2 linked regions of the Drosophila melanogaster genome follow. The protein of the gene in region 1 purifies or fractionates together with the protein of each later gene. This does not show direct contact. Each region holds a gene or a part of one and is shown in the gene's direction. Other genes may lie near its edges. The genes, in order: Rbp6 and smg.

What was found.
Region 2: the proteins of Rbp6 (region 1) and smg purify together in Drosophila melanogaster (affinity purification with western blotting, with the first as the bait; one study listed by BioGRID). This does not show direct contact.

Annotation. Positions count from the first base shown.
Region 1 is NT_037436.4:17,235,090-17,239,997, reverse strand, and holds the start of Rbp6 (RNA-binding protein 6), read left to right. Parts: upstream 1-1,785; 5' UTR 1,786-2,166; intron 2,167-3,935; 5' UTR 3,936-4,560; coding exon 4,561-4,646; intron 4,647-4,908. Other genes in the region: Afg3l2 (AFG3 like matrix AAA peptidase subunit 2), read left to right, coding at 1-887. UniProt on the Drosophila melanogaster protein: RNA binding protein that regulates the expression of target mRNAs at the translation level. May play a role in the proliferation and maintenance of stem cells in the central nervous system.
Region 2 is NT_037436.4:8,990,963-8,998,805, reverse strand, and holds the start of smg (smaug), read left to right. Parts: upstream 1-1,711; 5' UTR 1,712-1,952; intron 1,953-2,234; exon of another isoform or gene 2,235-2,324; intron 2,325-2,556; exon of another isoform or gene 2,557-2,744; intron 2,745-2,888; exon of another isoform or gene 2,889-3,083; intron 3,084-3,240; 5' UTR 3,241-3,338; coding exon 3,339-5,707; intron 5,708-5,764; coding exon 5,765-6,725; 3' UTR 6,726-6,762; intron 6,763-7,268; coding exon of another isoform or gene 7,269-7,310; 3' UTR 7,311-7,843. Other genes in the region: CG5087 (uncharacterized protein), read right to left, coding at 1-143, 197-351. UniProt on the Drosophila melanogaster protein: Translation regulator that binds to the 3'-UTR of specific mRNAs such as nanos (nos) and prevents their translation. Prevents translation of unlocalized nanos in the bulk cytoplasm via the recruitment of cup.

The DNA of each region.
Region 1 (4,908 bases):
CAGGCTTCACAGGCGCTGACATCGCGAATGTTTGCAACGAAGCTGCTTTGATTGCCGCCCGCGACTCCAAGGATTCGATCGTACTCAAGCACTTCGAGCAGGCCATTGAGCGTGTTATCGCTGGCATGGAGAAGAAGACCAATGTTCTGGCGCCGGAGGAAAAGCGAACGGTGGCACACCACGAGGCTGGCCATGCGGTGGCCGGTTGGTTCCTGGAGCACGCAGATCCCCTGCTGAAGGTCTCGATTATACCACGCGGCAAGGGTCTGGGCTACGCCCAGTATCTGCCCAAGGATCACTACTTGCTGTCCAAGGAGCAGTTGTTCGATCGCATGTGCATGACGCTCGGCGGACGTGTGGCCGAAGAGCTGTTCTTTAATCGCATTACCACTGGTGCTCAGGATGATCTAAAGAAGATCACCGATATTGCCTACTCCCAGGTGGTGCGTTTCGGCATGAACGAGAAGGTCGGGCAGGTCAGCTTCGATGTGGGCCAGGCCGGTGATCCCGTTTTCAGCAAACCATACTCGGAGGACACAGCGCAGCTGATCGACAACGAGGTGAGGTCGATTATCAAATGTGCCCACGAGGCCACCACTAGTCTGCTGACCAAGCACAAGGAGAATGTTCAAAAAGTGGCGGAAAGACTGCTCCAAAACGAAGTGCTCAGCCGTGATGATATGATTGAGCTGCTGGGCCCACGACCCTTCAAAGAGAAGTCAACCTACGAGGAGTTCGTCGAGGGTACCGGCTCCTTCGAGGAGGACACCACTCTGCCCGAAGGCCTCAAGAGCTGGAACAAGGAAAAGGAACGAACGGAGCCTCTGGACGCTGGCAGCACGCCATCATCGCCGCCCACCAAGCCCGTAACTGCCCAGAGCAGTTAGGCAACGATCTTCGCTCATGTGGATGGGGAGTTTTGGTGTGGTAGTTCGAGGGTGCCGACATCTGTTTGTTTTTGTTGTAATCCCTAAACGCGGACCGGAGAAAACCCCGACATGTGGCAGATCGAGAAGGCAGGGCTCAAGGAGTTCCTAGACCTTCTGGAGTTACAGTTCTCCACGACGCGTTCATTATTGTTTTTGCATAATTTTAAGATACCCACATGGATAACTTGTTCCCGTGTTGAGCAATTAAGTGCTAGCCTGTACTAAATTCCCCGTATGCGTAGTTTCAAAATGGCAATAAAGAATGGAAATGACCTGTCAGTGTGGAAAAGCGAAATTAAACGATGTTATCAAGGCGAAAAATAATCGAATCAGTGTTGTTACTGCCTTACGGTTTAAACCCGTTTTCGAAAACAGCAAAAGTTGCAAAATACATACAATGTATTGCTTCATTATGTATATTTCATACAATAAAATGTTATGATAACATTGGAATGCAAAATTTGTTCTTAACTTTGGGATAGCCAGCTTTATTCTTAAGTTGACTGATAGTGCCAGGTTAAAATTTTTTTCAGTGTGAGCTTTTAAAGCTGCACGCGGTTTAAGAGAGTGCCGCTCTCTTCGGTAAGCTTTCTCCGCAAACTTTCGCCGGCTACTCTTCCTCGCTGCGGCTTATCACTTATCAGCTGTGATGCTGAAGTACATGCGCCATGTGCAGCCGGTAAATAGTGCAACTGCCGCAGTCGGCGCCTCTGCCGGTGCAAAGCTCCGTAGGGGCAGCACCAGCGGCAACAACAACAGCAGCAACAGCAGCGAAGGCAGAGAGTGCAGCAGTGCAGTCGACGTCGCTGCCGCCGGTCGTTTTGGGGCCGTCAGTTGGGTTTTGGGGTCTCGCCGCTCAGTGTCGTCTTGTTGGTTGTCGCGTTCGTGTGCGCGCACTGAGAAAAGCGGAACGCCAGCGTTGCACTAACCGTTGCAGTTTCTATATTACTCTCGAGTCGCCCGATTTCAGAGCTGTTCGTACCGCTCGTGGGAGTGCGTGCGTTTTAACCAAAACAACTACCAAATCGCGTACAAGATACCAAACCAATATAACCGAGAGGCCCGAAAGGAAAACCCCTGCTGTGGAGGGCATTTTGCATTTTGTTTACCTCGATGGCTGTGTGGAGTGCAATTTGACGATTATATAATATAAAATACAAAATACAAAAAATAGGGAAAACGAGTAACAGTGCGCGGCATTCGATTTTAATTGCAATCAACTACAATAACCGCTGAAGTAGAGGAGTTAAAGCGCAAACCTCTCCCTCGCACCCCCGCCCTCCCTCTCACTCACACTCACTAACACATTGCGTTTGTGTTGATCTTTCCTGCAAAATGGCTGCCGGCCGGCAAAATAACGGCAACATCCATACTTGATCGATAGAAAGAGAGCGGCAGAGAATCCCTAGCGATTTCATGTTTGATTTATTGGATTTTATTTTTCCTGAGACTTTCCTTTAGGCTTCTTGTTTGATTTCTTAGAAAATTAAAATTATGTATTTATGACAAATGGTGACCATTAGGATGAACAGAACAAGGAGGAGAATTTAATGCTAATGTTTATTTATTTTGTCAAGAAAATTATATTTAAATTTGTTTTGCCATTTGCATTTATTCTGCTTTAAGATAGGAAGCAAAATATCTCTTATCAATTAGTGTAAAATCAATCAACAAACACGTGTATTACATAAAATTTAAATTTGATTAATATTTTCGTTCCTTTTATTAGAGATCTTCGTTGTGATCACTTTTATAAAATGGCTGACATCGGTAACGGTAACTTCGATTACTGATCAATCGAGCGCCCCCTGTCGGCGATTCTCTTAGCTCTGTTTTAGTTTATCGTTTATTTTGTTTTATTTTGTGCTGCCAATTGTCGCAATTGCAATTGTCGGGTCACGTGTTTGTTGCTGCCGCCAGTTAACTTCTGCTCTCGTTGTAACGGTGCATGTTCCCTGTGCGGGTGTGTGTGTGCTGATGTACGATTGTGTGTGTGCGTGTCTGTTCGTGAAAGCTTGCATGCTGCGCGTTATTATATTGTTGCTGGCGTTGTTGTAATTTTTGTTGAGGGAGTCACTGCATGCAATGTTCTTCTTGCCCTTTCGCACCTCCCTATCTATCTATCTCTGTCTTTTTCTATTATTTGTTGTTGCTTTTACTGCTGTTGTGGGTGTGGGAAAAATCAAGGCGCGTATTAAGCACAGAAAATGCAAAAAAGAACACACACAAAATATAGGAAAGCGAATAATTTCGGAGAGAAAGCAACGGAAAATAATTGCTTTAACAAGCAAAAGTTCAAAGCTATAAAATTTGGATGCCAGCATTTTTGAATTTCCGAAAAATTGTTCGGGAAACCAAGGTGTTTCTGGCGTAAAAAAAAGTGTCACTTAAAACCTTTTTAATGTTAAAAATCGTTCAGATTATTTAACAACGATGGGAATTTATGAAATTAGTAGAGAGCTTTTTACTAAATATTTGGAATTTTATAATTATTACACAAGCTCACAATAAGTAAACACGTATACTTATAATTTTTGAAAAACATTTGGATCTTTAACCTTTTATATTTAGTTTTCTTAATTTTTTATGAGACGCCTATTCTAAGAAAATTAATTTGATGGCTCATGCCATATGTGTAAAGTGAGTCAAATTTATTTCAAACAAAGATCTTTTACAGTCTTAGTACCGCATCCCAATTGTCACTCAGCCGTTACTTAACCGCCCCCCTTTTCCCACCCGTTCCTCACCTGGCTTTTCCACGGTTTTCCTCCCTCTCTCTCTCTATCGCTCCCACATCGGTTGCACTTTTTTGCATTTTACGATTGTTCGTTGCGAATCATTGCATTTTAGGGGGTGGGTGGGGGTGGTGCAGCAGCTGCGGATGGGTGGGAAAGCGAGGAGTGGCGAGGGGGAGCGAGTGAAGGGGAAAATTGCATTTTCAAAAGTTTCCCTGGGCAAAGTTTAAAATTGCAATTTAATTAATTTTCACCAAACACAACGAAACAGATCTTTTGCAGTAATATGTTGCCTTCAAATCAATTGGGAAACCAACAACCAAAGTTAACGCAACGTTTCTAAAACTTAAAGTCTAAACAACAAACGAAATAATAGTTACGAAATACACAATAATATTTAAACCAAACCAAAAGTGGCCTGCAAAACGAAGCAACCAAAACAACCAAAACAACCAAGAAATGTGATTCAATGTGTGCAATGTAACCAAATTATAATTAACAAGCTAAATAAAACGATAACTAGAGCAGGAGAAAAGCCGTGGAAAATCAGCGGGAAAGCCAACCAAAGCCAGGCCAAATGGAAAACAAGGAATCCGGCAGCCAATCGAACAGCCAACTAGCAGCCATCGTGGCCAATGATTAAGGGAACACTCTGTTAGCCAACTCGTAGTAGCAGCATCCCCCGTCCACACATAACACCCAGTAACACAGCCACTCAGCCGCACAGAACCACTCGACCTCCCCTCGCATCTCGATGCTCGCACAGAAGGCGTTGGAGCAACAATTATAGAATAGACAGCCAGACGACCACATCAGCTCAGCTCAGCCCCAACTGCAAACTCCAATCACCAGCTCCAGCTCCAACTCAATCTCAATCCCGAGCCAAAACCCCCAACATGGACATCAAGATTGAGCAGCAGCAGCAGCAACAGCAAGTGGAGCTGGGACCCTGTTCCCCCTCGGAGGTGCCCAATGATCCCGGGTAAGTGTGCTGCTCTTATATGTACATGTATACCCTAGCGAAAGGGTATCTCAGAAAGTAGAGAATATATTTTAATCAACTTGAGAAGAAAAAGATTTACTTCGATTTATTTATATTACTTTCGCTCTACAAGCACTAAAAATCACCATCCTTAAAAGGATGTGCGAAATTTATATTTCAGTTCTGTAAATCATAATTAAAATATATTTTCCTAAGACCCTAACTTAGATTTTTCGAGAAAAGGGCATTCAAACTTCGCATT
Region 2 (7,843 bases), 8.2 Mb from region 1:
GCTCCCGTGCACGCACATCGCTCTTGTCCAGCCTGATCTGGGTGAGGTAGCGACGAAGCACCGGATAGACGTTGCTTGCCACGAGTTCCAGTTCCGCATCCTTATCGTCATGATTCTCAGTGAACATGGCATCGAAATCGAGTCTGCAAAACGGGTTACTATTTAGGATGTTCCATAAAAGTAGATAGACACTTACATGATTCGTTTCTGGTACTTCCTACGCGCCGCATATCCCTTGAGCGTGGACTGCAGCAGGATGGCCGCCTGTTCGCGTCGCTTTTCCAGTGCCCGCTCCTCCCGCGCCGCCTTTGTCTGCTCCAGGAAGCTGGCCTTTTGGTTTTGGGCAAACATTTTGCTCTGCAGCAGGTTGAAAGAATTTTGTTGATGATGTATTGTTGTTGACCAGAGCGTTTGTTTTTGTCGGGATTGTGGCCGTTCCGGGATGTATTTATCGTTTCAATCACTTCCTCGAGCTGAACGCTATCCCAGAGCCTTGATTCAGAGCCTCGCTGGATATTTTCTGCATTGCATATCGAGCAAAATGCAAAAAGAAAATATCCTTATTTTGTTCCAATTGGTGGTACAGTGTCACCGTCTCCGCTTACTGTCAAATAACCACAGAAATAGGCCAAAGCGCGGAGATCATTTTTGTTGGCAATTTTCTAGCTAAAACCGTGGTTTGAGTCCGCGCTGCATGAGCACGGCATCGAACCTAGGGCAGCTTTGCTGCTCAACTGAGCGTCCATCACCAAGGGAAAGTAACCGATAACCGCTTGCAAGAAAGATCGACTGTATCGAGTACACATCGATTTTTGTTCCAGCACTAGCAACGCTGCGTTCGCGTGAATAAATAATTAATTAATTGCTGAAAAAATGGATTAGCTGGCGAAACATGCATCCGACCAAGTGCAACAGCAACCGTGCGCAGTACTCAGTAATCGGGCGTTTGTGAGCGTAAGCGCCATGAATTGTGTGTCTAAAAAAAAGTAATGGTTTAGCAAAAACAACAACGCTAAAGCCCAAAAGTGCTAATAAAAAGTACACACATACGCACTCACACAAACGCGCGCGCGAGCAAAGGTGAAAATTATAAATTAATAAATACGCGATCCGATAGCATATCAAATTAGCGAAATATGCTCGTTTCTCGTGCTGATCGAATCAAAACTGTGAATTGCAACAGAAAATAATTTCAAGGTTTGCAGCAGGCGAATAGAAGGCGAAAAGGTAATTGAAAAATAGAACGAATTTTGGCACAAGCGCACTGTAGCTATATATTTTTGTTGTCTGGCCGACCGTGGCTAGGTGGGTGGGGCGTGATTTTGGGGGCCAATCTTGTGTGTTCTGTGTACTGTGCGCTGCTGCTCTGTGTGGTGAAAACAACAAAACCCGCTTACCCCGCAGGAGCCCCACCCCTCTCCCTTAAATGTAATGCATGTAATTTACCGCAATTTTGCCCGTGCATTGCTCAGTGTGTCACTCTCACTCGCACACATACCACTGCCGACGAGCGCAGCAAGGTCTCCGTCTGTGTGTGCGTGTAAGTGAGTGCTCTCCCCATTTTCTTGACAGCAGTAGCAGCATCAGCATCAGCATCAATCCTGTCAGAAAAAAAAGGCGCGCGCTCCTTTTCGCCCGTTTCGCTCTGCCTGCCGCTGCGCTGCTTCTGCAGCTCCACCATTTTCTTTCTAAATCGCTGACGCCAGCGCCAAATCATTCGCCATCAGCCGCTCCTCCTCCGCGGTGCTCCCCACTGCAGCTTCTCGTCTTCAGCTGAGCTTCGCTGTGCTAAACCAATTCTTCTGTTCTGTGTGGTTGGATCTGCAGTTTTGCAGATATAATCAAATTTATTCGCAACGTACATATGTAAATAAAAGCGTTCGGAATATGCCAAGCGCCTGTGATCGCGACTGCTGAAAGGGCAGCCAAAATACGATAATATATAAGAGCGTGTGAGTTTGCAGTATCCTTTACGTTTGCGTGTGTGTGCGTGCTTGCAATCTTTGAACTTTGAACTTTTGTTGAACTTCGGTAATTTTTTTATTTGCAAGCCGGTTAGAAAACAACAGCAATTGCAGTGACGCATAACCTCAAAGATCGACATGCACAAGTACCGTTAGATCGAGTCGCCCCAAACGACTCTTTTGCGCTCCCAGTCTCGCAGGGAAATGTGAAATTTCATATAAAACGTTACGTTAAATAGCAAAGAAGTTAACATCGGTAAATTCCATAGCAGTGAATGTGCTTTAAATGCAGTAATTGGGGCCCGTTATGTTTTACTGCTTGCTCACACACACTAACTTAAGTTGGGGTACCAATACACAGTCAGTTACACTGTCTCTGGCTTAGATTACAGTCAACACTCGATGTCGTAAACCAGGATAAAAAAATAAAATGCAGCAATTTCTCTTAAAACTACATTTTACATTAAAAAATAGATACTTTAATTTTCAAATTTTTTGACTCCCATGCGTTGATTTGTTCAATGTTTTGTGTGCTTACTGTGAAAACACGGCAACAAAAATCGAAGAAAGTCGTCAGAGTAAAAGCAATAATAACAACAACAGCAACGGCGGCAGAAGAAACAAGATTCGAAATGGGCACAAACGAAACTAAATGAAAAGCGCGAAACTGTGCAAAAAAAATACAACCTAACCAAACTTCTCGCCCCCGCTCTACTTTCCCGCCCGGAAATCAAAATCCGAACGCCGCCAAGTCGAAATCAGCGATTTCGTATTTGAAATGTTTGTTATTTTATTGATTTATCGTCCCTCGTCATTTGCGCCATCAAAGCGAATCGAAGGTGTTATATATTTGTTGCTTGTTTATTTGCTTTCCTGATAAGCCAGCCGACCAAGCAAATGCTAATTTCCATTCGTCAATTACAGATAATTGTTGTTGCTATTGCGCTTGTAAATTTAACAAATTAGCGAAAACTGATTTGATTAAATTCGAACGTTATTTGCGGCTTAAAGTTTATTTTATTATCGCTGCACGGCACTCTAATCCCGAGTGGAGCAATGGCGACAAATCCATGGAATAAGGGAGAAGCTATTGATTGGATCACGTGGTTCGGAATTGTGGTATTTTTCTATGGAAGTGATTAGATTGGGCTAAACTAGGCTTTAAGCGAATGATACAGCTCATTGAGCATAAAAAAAATTGTATTACCACAGTCACAAAGTTTAGCTTTACATAATAGTTCAATTATTAATCCTACCCCGTTATCTTTACTTGCAGCAACGCAACCAAATAACCACAAAGAAGCCGTAACAAATACAATACCATAAACTATAGTAAGAACTATCCCCAAAAAACAAGAAGCAACTAACAACGAGATGAAGTACGCAACTGGAACTGACAACGCGATGACCTCCGGCATCAGCGGCCAAACCAATAACTCTAACAGTGCATCCAACGAGATGCAGCCAACCACATCAACGCCTACTGCAGCCCACAAGGAGGCCACATCAACGGCCACGACGACGGCGACATACGCCAATGGCAATCCCAATTCTAACGCCAATCCCAGCCAGAGCCAGCCGTCCAATGCGCTGTTTTGCGAGCAGGTGACCACAGTGACAAATCTCTTCGAGAAGTGGAACGACTGCGAGCGAACCGTCGTGATGTACGCGCTGCTCAAGCGGCTGCGCTACCCGAGCCTCAAGTTTCTACAGTATTCTATCGACAGCAACCTGACCCAGAACCTGGGCACCTCCCAGACCAATCTGAGCAGCGTGGTTATTGACATCAATGCCAACAATCCGGTGTACCTGCAGAATCTACTCAACGCCTACAAGACGTTCCAGCCATGTGACCTGCTCGACGCCATGTCCTCCTCGTCGTCCGACAAGGACTCGATGCCATGCTACGGCAGTGACTTCCAGATCACCACATCGGCGCAGTGTGACGAGCGGAAGCTGTATGCCCGCAAGGAGGACATTCTGCATGAAGTACTGAACATGCTGCCTCTGCTGAAGCCGGGCAATGAGGAGGCCAAGCTTATCTACCTGACCCTTATACCAGTTGCCGTCAAGGACACCATGCAGCAAATTGTGCCCACGGAGTTGGTGCAGCAGATCTTCTCGTACCTACTCATCCATCCAGCTATCACCAGCGAGGACAGACGTTCGCTCAACATTTGGCTGCGTCACTTGGAGGATCATATCCAAGCGGCTGCGGCGGGCCTGACAAATCGCAGTTACTTCCTGCAGCCCTCGCCGCAACTGGTCGCTGGTGGTAGCTCAACAGGCAGTGGTAGCTGTTCCTCTTCGGCGACCAGCTCTTCGACAGCATCCTGTTCGTCGGTGGCCTCATCCTCGTTGTGCCCCGCAAGCGGCAGCCGTTCCTCACGCACCAACGACTGGCAAACGATCGCCCCGCCCAGCAAGCAATTGCAAAACAAATTGGCCGGTGATTGGCGTGGCAATGGAGGCGGCAGCTCCAGCGGGTCGATCAATCCACTCTGTGATAATCTTAATGGTATTACCCTGAACGAATTAGCTTCTAGTCAGAACAGTCTCGGCCTGTCGCTGGAGGGCAGCTCTTCCCTGGTCAACGGTGTGGTCGCTGGTGCAGGCTCTATGTTGGGAATCGCTGGTGGCGACGATCATGACACGTCATTTAGCAAGAATGGCACGGAGATTCTCGATTTTGACCCGGTGACGGCGGACATGGGTGAGGCCTGTAGTCTGGCCAGCAGTAGCCTTTGTGGACGTAACGGTGGAAATCCTGTTGAGGATCGATCGCAACCTCCGCCGAATCTTCAGCAGCAATTGCTTCAGCCTCCTCCCTATGCCTCGATCCTTATGGGAAACGTGGGCGATCAGTTTGGAGAGATCAACCGGTGGAGCCTGGACAGCAAGATTGCAGCCCTGAAGACGCGGCGCTCTAACAGCCTCACCACGCAAACGATCTCTAGCTGTTCCAGCTCGTCTAACTCATCGGTGATCACGGTCAATGACAACTGCTCCAATTCAACGGAGAATCTGGCACAGTTTGCCAACAAGCCCCGTAGTTTTTCCTTATCGATTGAGCATCAGCGCGGCGCCTTGATGAACAGCGGTTCCGATACTCGTCTGGATGAATTCAAGCCCAATTATATTAAGTTCCACACGCGCAACGTGGGCATGTCGGGAATCGGACTCTGGCTAAAATCCTTGCGTCTGCACAAGTACATCGAGCTGTTCAAGAACATGACGTACGAGGAAATGCTCTTGATCACCGAGGACTTTCTGCAGAGTGTTGGCGTCACCAAGGGCGCCTCCCACAAGCTTGCCCTTTGCATTGATAAGCTGAAGGAACGGGCCAATATTCTTAACCGGGTAGAACAAGAACTGCTATCGGGTCAAATGGAGCTGAGCACGGCGGTTGAGGAGCTAACAAATATTGTGCTGACACCAATGAAGCCACTGGAGTCTCCAGGACCACCGGAGGAAAACATTGGTCTGCGTTTTCTTAAGGTCATTGACATTGTGACCAATACGTTGCAGCAGGATCCGTATGCTGTCCAAGACGACGAGACTTTGGGTGTGCTTATGTGGATTCTAGACCGCTCTATCCACAACGAGGCATTTATGAATCACGCCAGTCAACTCAAGGACCTGAAGTTTAAGTTGTCCAAAATGAAGATCTCCATGGTTCCCAAAATGCATCACGTCAAGCCAGCCGGCGTCGGGCCAAACAATGGGAACATTAACAAGCCAAGGTAAGGTTTTCAATAAGATAAAAAGTAATGCATTTTAAAAATGAGCTGTTATTTTAGATGGAATGGTAAGACTCGCAAATGCGATACTAAAAATGGCAGCAACGATAGGATTAACAACCGCAAAAACTCCAACGACATGCTAAACTTTTCGCTAAATTGCCTGCCACACCCGCTGCCCCATCATTCGCAGCAGGCTCCGCCGCCTCTGCCACAGTTTGACTACAACGGCTATGGCGGCGGTCCATCCCATCAGCCGCAGTACAAGAGCTCCTCGTACCCAAGCTTCATGGGTAATCCTCAGCAGCAGCCACCACCGCCGCCGTCTAGTAAGTCGCATCATCATCCCCAGCAGATGCAACAGATGTTGCAGCAACACAACCACTTTCCAGCGCTGCCTCAGCAGACGCCACCACAATCGCATCGCCGGTCGCTGAATAATCTTATTCTGGTGGCCGGAGGTCCGCAGCAACCGCAGCAATTGATCTTTAAGCCCGGTCAGGGAGTGCTCACCAACAACGGATCTAACGACAACCTGGTATTGGAACGCAATCAGCAGTCGCAGCAGCAGCAGCAGCAGAGAAAACTTAGCGGAGGAGTGTCCAGTGCGGAGCAACAACCAAAGAAGACCATGGCCGCTGTTGTGATGGTTAGTAATCCAAACCAGAATCAGGACCAGCACGATCAGCCCCAGATCCTGATCAACAACAATAATAACAACAGCATGCTGAACAACAATTTGATTAACCAGCAACAGTTGCAACTTTTGGCAGCAGCTGCTGCCGCCGTGGGCAGTGGCAGCTGTCTGTGCTCCAATGGTGGTGGTGGTGCCTGTGTCCACAATATCTGTCACCAAAGCAGCAAGAACAACAATCATGGCGTAGACCATTGCCTGTCCCAGTCACCGTTGGGCAGCCTGGGCATGTCGCCCCACGTCACCGAGTACAAGATGAACGACTTTAAGAGCCTAGAACAGCTGGAGACGTTGTGTCGCCAAATGACTGAACAGGCAATGAACTGAGCAAGATTCAGGGCTATCTGGGTTTTGAAATCATCATGTAATGGCGTTAGATTTGAGGCTGCCAGCTGTTTTTGTGTTCATTTAGCTTTGAGCCGTGTTTGATGTTTGATTTCATAACGAACATAAATGTTTTTATATTTAGATATTTAAGATTCGTGTCTATTTTTGTGTCGCGTCAAGTTGTCCACCCTGCGTCTCCTTTCACATCCCGTTCTGTAATCGTTTTTAGTTAGTAAGACGATAGTTTGTTTTAATGTTAAGTTTATTAACTGTATGCCAAGGCGCCCCCAAAGATATGATCAATTGACTCGGGCTCGCAGGACCAACGGCTGGCCGATGAACTTGTGGAGCCCATGCTGCACTCCCCGACGGTAATCCCATGTCGGTTGTCAGCGGGGGCGTGGCATCTTACTGTCAATGTTATTAATGTATAGGTTTCGTAAATGTTGTCGCCATTTATGTAGTTAAACTAACAAGCCAAGCCCCACAACACACACACACACAGATCGCAACAACAGAATACAGTAACTTCTCTCTACCTAGGAAAATTTGGCCAAATTTGATCAACATTTTACGCTATTCTAAACCCCAATCACAACATCAACTATTTCATTCACTATCAACAACGTCGCCAAATGAAAGAAATACCCCGATCTGAACGACGACGAAAAATGGTTTATCTAGTAAAAAATTATAAAATGAACTCTGCATCGTGACCATGAGACTGACTAAGATTACTTTTCGCAACTATAAAAACTAGAAGGAAGAAAGCTGGATGGAGAGGGAATTGAAAAGTGAGAATTGAGAAACGAGAGCTGATAATTGTTTGCGCGAATCAAAACTAGGCTTGCTGAATGAAGTAGTAGTCACATAATGAATATGTTTATATATACACGTACACATAATTTATTTTAAATTAAAAGGAACATATTTGCTGAACCGTAACTGCACCAGAGGAAATCGCAACGGCGGAAACTACCACTAGACTAAACTTTAACAGAAAAGAGTTTCAATGTTTCACTGTTTGTGTTTGAGAATCGGAACCACATATTGTATTTTGCATATTTAAGCGTAAGCCAAATCCATGTATTGCATACCGATCATGATCACCATTGTCA